2 linked regions of the Schizosaccharomyces pombe genome follow. Changing the gene in region 1 together with any one later gene gives a genetic interaction. Each region holds a gene or a part of one and is shown on either strand. Other genes may lie near its edges.

What was found. A genetic interaction does not mean that the proteins touch.
Region 2: of toe2 (region 1) and SPOM_SPACUNK4.15, changing one suppresses a phenotype caused by changing the other (phenotypic suppression), as found in Schizosaccharomyces pombe (one study listed by BioGRID).

The regions. Positions count from the first base shown.
Region 1 is NC_003424.3:1,019,623-1,023,381, reverse strand, and holds the start of toe2 (protein toe2), read right to left. Parts: upstream 1,713-3,759; 5' UTR 1,466-1,712; coding exon 575-1,465; exon of another isoform or gene 536-574; coding exon 1-535. Other genes in the region: oac1 (anion transporter), read left to right, coding at 2,808-3,759.
Region 2 is NC_003424.3:2,880,436-2,884,165, forward strand, and holds SPOM_SPACUNK4.15 (2',3'-cyclic-nucleotide 3'-phosphodiesterase), read right to left. Parts: upstream 1,747-3,730; 5' UTR 1,558-1,746; intron 1,509-1,557; 5' UTR 1,297-1,508; coding exon 670-1,296; 3' UTR 528-669; downstream 1-527. Other genes in the region: BRCT domain protein Mdb1, read right to left, coding at 2,749-3,054, 3,107-3,730.

The sequences.
Region 1 (3,759 bases):
AAAGGAACGGAAAATGCAAGAGAATTGGGAATCTGTTTGACAAATAGGAAACTAAAAGTCGAATATGCCGTTCGTGCATAGTATTACTAGTTGGAATATTCACTTCTATCAATTCTTTAAAAAAATTGGAAAGCTCCCTGTCAAGCTCTAATAAACGTGTATAATTAGGAGCTATAATGCCTAGCAAAACTTTCAAACACTTTGAATATGCTCGTGAAACCTTCGTGATAATGTTAACAAAAGTGGCCTCAGAAATAATAACGGAAGAATCTACATTATGAATTTCATCAGGTAAAGCAGAGGGAAGACGTGTATCATAATTTCCCTCAACAATTTGAGGAGGATAACCAATAGTTTCAGAAGTTCTAAGATCCGACAAGACTATATTCGCCCACACACGACGTCTAATCTCGGAAATTACCGGATTAAGTCCATAAAGCGAGCCATCTCTGTGAAGGCCCATGCATAGCGCTACGTGAAGAATCAAGCCGACTAAGGAAGGTGGAGCGCGAATGCGGTCAGAATCAAAGACAACCTAAATTGAGTTAGTTAAACCCATTTCAATATCACAAACCTGACAAAGAACAAGAGCTTGCAAAGCATTAAGATCTGGTTCAAACAGAAAATTAGACGAAGCCAGTGCGTAGCGAAAAGCTTGATGATAATCTACCTGAAGATATCTCTCGTCTTCACCAAGCGCCCATGTCTTTTGCACTTCAACAGGTGTAGCTAGTAATGCACTAGCATAGATTGCGTATAATAAACTAGTAAAAGCTGGTTTTCGCAAGTGCGGTTTTTCCCAAAAATCATTATATCGTACATAAAAAGTTGGTCTGTGTAAAACATTAATGAGCATATGACACCGAAAAAAGAACTGCTCAATTAAAATATCCGATACTTTTTTGGGGGGTAAATAGTCGTATGCAGATTCATTGGGGGATATTCGAAAAAAAAACGGACTAATCAGAGAATCGTTTTCTTCTTGAATATCTTGATCTAAGTTAAGATAATGATAATTCCTTAAATGCCAGAGTACGTGTGAAGAGGACGAGTAGTTAGCATATTGTGATTTTGTATCATCTAATACTGAAAGAGAACCAATGTTTCGCTGTGTCTCAGCATCTGCCGAAGGCGTGGAAGGAAGATTATGAGATTGTTGGTTTTCATAATCAGATTGCGATTTAGTGCCGACCTCATTTAAACGTTTTTCCAGCATGCTAACTCGGGATAGTAACTGATCTATCAATTCGTCAGCTTCGCTACCCCGTTCAAAGCGCTTGTCATAATTAGTTTTCCCAGGATCTATATAAATACATGACTGGATTGTTGATCGCTTTAAGCAATTGGAACAAGGTCTTCCATGATCACATTTAAGTTTTTTTCTTCGACAAGCCAAACACGAATGGATCGCCCTACGTGATGTCTGCCCTGATTTTTTAGAACCAGACTTGGTTGTTTCACTCATATGCTCTTCTTAAACATCAAGTTATATAATATTGTGAAAGATAAAGTACAATTGAATGCTAGATTCTTCTAATTCTTGAATCAATAGACGTCAAAAAAATGATACTTGCGACCAATTGACAGGAGCGAAAAGAAGTTAATTCCGTAATATATAAAAAAGTAGTCTTGGCTTTAAATAGGCAAGAATTATATCTTTAAATCTTATTGCTATACTGATTTTGAACCAAAGACACTTGTGTTTGGATGTTGGCGAAAAGTAAATTCGTAACACCAAACACAAGGCACACTGGACAACTTTTATAAATATCCACTAATTTCAATAGTAAGCAATCTCAACAGCAGACAGCTTTCGGATAACATGCGTTAGATACGTAAAGCACTCAAATAGAAACATATAATTTACACAGGGATTTAATGCATTTACTAACAAATTACCATTCTTAAATATGACTGATTTCTATTTCAAAATTCAATTGCCTGCCTTGCGACAAACTATCCATCAAATTTAGTACTTGCATTTTTTTCATTGATCACAATTTATACCCCGTATGTATAAAATCTTACTAAAAGGCATCTTAATTGTCTGAGTAAGAACTTTGGTTAAGGGTAGACGGTTGAGAGCATGCACTTATTTGAATCACTTTATGGCATTTTCTTTATAATAGTACAACATTGCAGAAGTGAATGACATCTAAAGCTACTGCTACTATGATTTTGCATTTGTCTTACTTTAACATTATCTACCATGCGTTTCCAACGAATCCTATTTTAAAGTGTAAAGTCAGTTAAATGTTAACTGTGTGTACCTTCCTTCCTTCGAACGATCGCATTTATTGTTGACAAACATTACTCAAACTTTCAAATGACTTTTATTCAAAAAATTTTAAAATTCTACCAAATATTTGTAGGACAGAGAAAGAAAAAAAAAATATATATGATTGTAGGTAAATCCTTAATTTAAAGAGGTTAAGTGCGTTCTAGTATCTGTATTTTCAAATAGTAAACATAAGTAACATGTGACCTGTTTAATTTAGCATTAAAATGGAAAAAGTATAGAGCAATTAGGGTGCCTTGTAAATAAAAAAATTGCAATTCAATCTATAATTTTTTTATTAGTATCATTTTGCTTATTTTTTGAGTCCGTACGAAAGTTACGTTTTGCCTTCCCAAATTGCCGCAATGGTAAATTTTCCGCGCACAATTTAATCAAGGCTATTATCACTGAAAAAATCTCAACTGCAAGAATTCTTTTTCCTTCGGCCAACACTTGCTACGCAAATTGAATTGCCATTTGAGGCAGATTTTTTTGTTTAAATTCGAAGAAAAAATCCCAATATTAAGTCATGTCTGAGAAACAAACTATCAAAGCCCTTCCTGCACACAATCCTACTCAGGTGAAAAAACTTGGTCCCGTTAGTGGATTTTTGTCAGGTGGTCTTGCAGCTTGTGGTGCTGTAACACTGACAAATCCTTTCGAAGTTATTAAAACGCGTTTTCAACTTCAAGGTCAATTGACAAAATTGGATCCTTCTAAGCGAATTTACAAAAGCGTCGGTCAGGCATTTTCTCTAATCGCTAGACATGAAGGTATAAGAGGTCTTCAACGAGGCCTTGGTACTGCTTATGTTTATCAAATCTGCCTCAATGGCTGTCGTCTCGGGTTTTACGAACCGATTCGACGTACTCTGAATACGTGGTTCCTTGATGATCCCAAGGGTAATAAATTAGCTATTAACGTTGCAAGTGGCGCCGGTTCAGGTTTATGTGGTGCCTTGTTTGGCTCTCCCTTTTTCTTGGTTAAGACTCGCATGCAGTCGTATTCTCCTAAATTTCCCGTTGGCCAGCAGTATGGTTACAAGCATATATTTAATGCATTCAGTCGTATTATTAAGGAAAATGGTGTTAAGGGTTTGTTTGTTGGTGCTGATGCTGCCATTCTCCGTACTGTCTCTGGTTCCTCTGTTCAGCTTCCTATCTATAATTGGGCTAAACGCATGATTGAGCATTACAATCTATTGGAAGAGGGTATGATCAAACACTTAACTGCTAGTGCTGTTTCTGGATTTGGTGTATGCTGCACCATGCAAATTTTCGATACTGTTATGACTCGTATGTACAACCAAAAGAACAAGGAGCTTTATAAAAATCCGATTGATTGCATCCTTAAAACAATCCGCTCTGAAGGATTCTTTGCCTTATATAAGGGTTTTGGTGCTCACTTGGCCAGAATCGCTCCTCACACAATTTTCTGTCTTACCTTCGTGGAGCAAACCAATAAACTCTTTTTGAAATTCC
Region 2 (3,730 bases), 1.9 Mb from region 1:
TTGTGAAATCCTGATGACGATAGTTGTTGATGCTTCTTATGTAAGATAAAATTTGGAAATGTTACATCTATTCTCAGCTTTTGTTTGATAGAAAACGTTAGTTGAAGCATAAAGGTAGATAAATGAATAAATAAATAAGTCATGTTTACAAAGGATTGGTCGATAAGTATTTGAGATGCCATATCAACGTAGTAGTTAACTAATATTATGATCTATTTATTGATATAGAAAGGTTCCGCCGTGTGAATAGTTACCGCTGCATGTTATTTCATTGAATCACGTACATGGGTAATTTATATAACGCGAAATATTGTTTTTAGTAGCTGCAGACAAGTAAATAGTTTCCTTAGTCAAAGTTTAAAAGTAAAGCAGGAAAGGTGATCACCAGATGCATTTAAGTTAGTGAAAAAGATACTATAAAGGTAGAAATTGTTAATACATGAAGCAAAAAAAATTAAGGGTTTGAATAATCCATTTAAGCGAGATTGTTTTCACCTTAATAAAACCATTAAGGGATAAAAATAAATAAAGTTACAAAAAGGCTTTTTAAATCTTCATTAAAATACTAAAGCGAAATAACTAGGTATCATCCTGCTATATCTCTTTTTGTTTAGGTATATTTGCAAAGTATCAATAAGAAAAAAAAAAAAAAGATTGGAAAGCAAATGATTAGACGGTAAATTCAATACGATCACAGACGTATCCTTGATGGTTGGCCTTGTTTAATTGAATGAGTTCAAGAAAACAGGCCTTTCCCCAACTGGCTTGACCGATTGAAGAAATCGTCTCAATGGGGTCGGAAGTAGAGTAGTCAGAGCAAATACTCTTTGCATAAATGACAGGCATATAGGGATGTTCGATGACATTAAAAGGATCAGAAGTATCGGCCAAGTCATAAGCAGCATTTTGCAATTCTTCCAAGCCGGGAGTTTTCTCTACCTGAATATATACACGTTTGTAGAAGGAATCCCCAATAGCGACTTTGCCGAACTTTATGTTCAAAGGAGACTTGCGCTTGGAAGCGATATATTGCAAAACACTCTTAAACGATTGATTTGGTTTCAGCTTGATACCACGAGCTAAAGTAATGTGAGGAGCGGTAGGTAACTGCATTTCTTCAAAGTCGACTTTGTGACACACAGCCCAGTCGACAAACGTTCGATATCTCAACTCAATATCAGAGGAAATGGCAGGTACGAGCCAAACACAATAACAATGGTCTTCGGAAGAAACTTCAGCAAAACCATGACTTGTAGTCCTATCGGTCAAAGGCTGGGTCCTGAAAAATTGGGGCATGATGAAGGAGAAAGCTAGATTTCCTAATTACAAGGGGCTGGAAAAAATAAAGAGTAAAAAAAATTTAAAAGGTTGTCAGCAGTGAAAATTGTATGCAACGCTATAATGGTGTTGAAAAGAGGAAAAATAAATATAAAATACGTATAAATCCTTCGCCAATTTATTTCAACAAATATGTAGTCAATATTTTGCGTATTTTTTTTAATACCACACTATTCTTCTTTATTAGTAAATGAAACTCCAAAAAAAATTTTCACATACAGTTAAATTTCTGTTTCAAGAGTAAAACCGATATTTCCTTGTTCGCTTCGAAACCTGTCAATGCGCTTTTTTCGATTGCAAGGACAGAACACTAAAAAATATAAAATACACTCAAGCAAAGAATGTATTTAACACTTGATTTATTTTCCAAATTGCTTGTATAAGAAATAGAACTTGATTAATATTGTTGAACAGTGAGTTGGTTCGTTGGTCTGCTTATAACAGCTGGTGCTTTCACCACACTATGATGTCATCGTAGCGATGCGATAAATAGAAACAGCACACAGGTCACTTTCTCGTCCGAGGTTTAGCGCTCATTTGGCCGTGTGCGGAAGCATGTGCGGGTCTCTAAATTCACGCTTTATAAATGGTAAGATGGCGCAAAAAACTGTGTATTCCATTTAACAGCATATTTGGGTAAACCTATAAGTGCCTGATATACATATTGCGCATTTTATGAATAAATTTTATACAGTGAAGTGCAATGCATTGCAGAATCATTTGTTAGATATGCGGTATGCTTGATCTGATATGACGAGTGGATTTGCTGTGTTTTGTAGTCAATAAACAAACAACTAAACCTTTTCAAAAAATAAAATAAAATTGCAAGACTAAAAAGAAGCACTATAATGAGGCCCCTTTATTTTTATGTTTCGGAATTACCTCCTTTTACTTCCTCTTAAAACCGCAAATAAGTATATGCGTTTTTCTACTCATAAAGATTTTTACCTTTTATATCTTTTAATCGTGTAGAAATTTGTTATTTATTTTTATTAACCTTTTGTACTTCATTTCATATCATTTTATTTATTTCTTTATTTGTTTTTTTAATTGAGATGTAATAATTATAAATTTCGGGAATTGGTCAAACTATTTTTTTTCATACATTATCTGGAAAATAGAAAAAAAAGCGTATTGAAATCGATTCATTTATGTTGAGTATCTTGAATTTATTGGTTCAAGATTTTAACAATCAACTAACAGATCGCATATTTCATTAAATAACCGTGTAGGTTTTTTATCCTTCGCCCTTAAATACGCTCGTTTATTTAATATCATTATTAAAATTCTATTTTTGTATAATTTCTAATGGTCCTCCTTCATAGAAGAAACTCAAGAATATATGTTTGCAAATATACTTCTATAAATAAATAATAGACAAAGTAAACGATGTCCTCTTTACCTTTAATTTTATGTTCTTTGCTCCTTTGCACTTGGTTTGTTCCAAGATGAACGAGAGGATCGTTTTCTTCCTTGCCCGGTTCGGGATGCCTTTGAGACATTTCTTTTTCCAATTACTTTGGTGGGACTGTCAGCATCATAGTCAATCAAAAATTCATCAAAATCAATTCGATCACGCAAGATGGATAAAGCTACTAGTTCAATCTTGTACACATTTAAACCAGTAGCACTCATATTCCGTCCTTCTTGATCGTTGTCAGGTTGAGCAAGTATAATTGTGTCCTTCTCTTGAGCCCTTTTAATATCACCAACAATCTATTTAAATCATTAGCCTATCATAACTAGATATTCTCCATCTTTCACTTACCTCAGCTCCAGATGTTTCCAAAATTGAGTAAAGTCCGTGTATAGAATCCCCTACCATCGAATCTCGAATTGCCTTTGTAATGTATAGTCTTTTCCCATTGAAACACGTTCTTCTGTGGATATCGTCCAAACGAAATCCCCACTTGGCTTCTGCTTCCTCGTCTTTATATTTGTAGCTACGAAAATCTAAAACTTTACCTGATTTTATACAGTCTGTCAAGTATTGAGAAGAGACAAGTGGTATACCTAGAGAAGTCGCCAGTAAAAACTTATGTGTCCTCCGAAGTGGAGGTGAACCAAGGATGACAAAGTCGGTTTCGTCTGTGACACTTTCTTGCACCCTTAGACCATTTCTCCTTATAAAACTTTTCATCGGTTTAGTTAGGTTGAAACTCGACGTTACCAGATTTGTGTGCTTGTTTTTATTTTCAACTGCCGAGGACTGCACATTCTTGTCAGGTTGATCCTCTAAAGATGATGAGGGGAAAGAATAATTAGTGGAAATTGGTGCCTCTTCTGCTTCTCTGTTACTTTCATCCTGGGATGTGGATTCCTTCTCTTTGAGAGCGATTTCCGGCGCACTTCTTTTACTTTCTTCATTTTCGTTGGAGGGGGTTAAATCTGG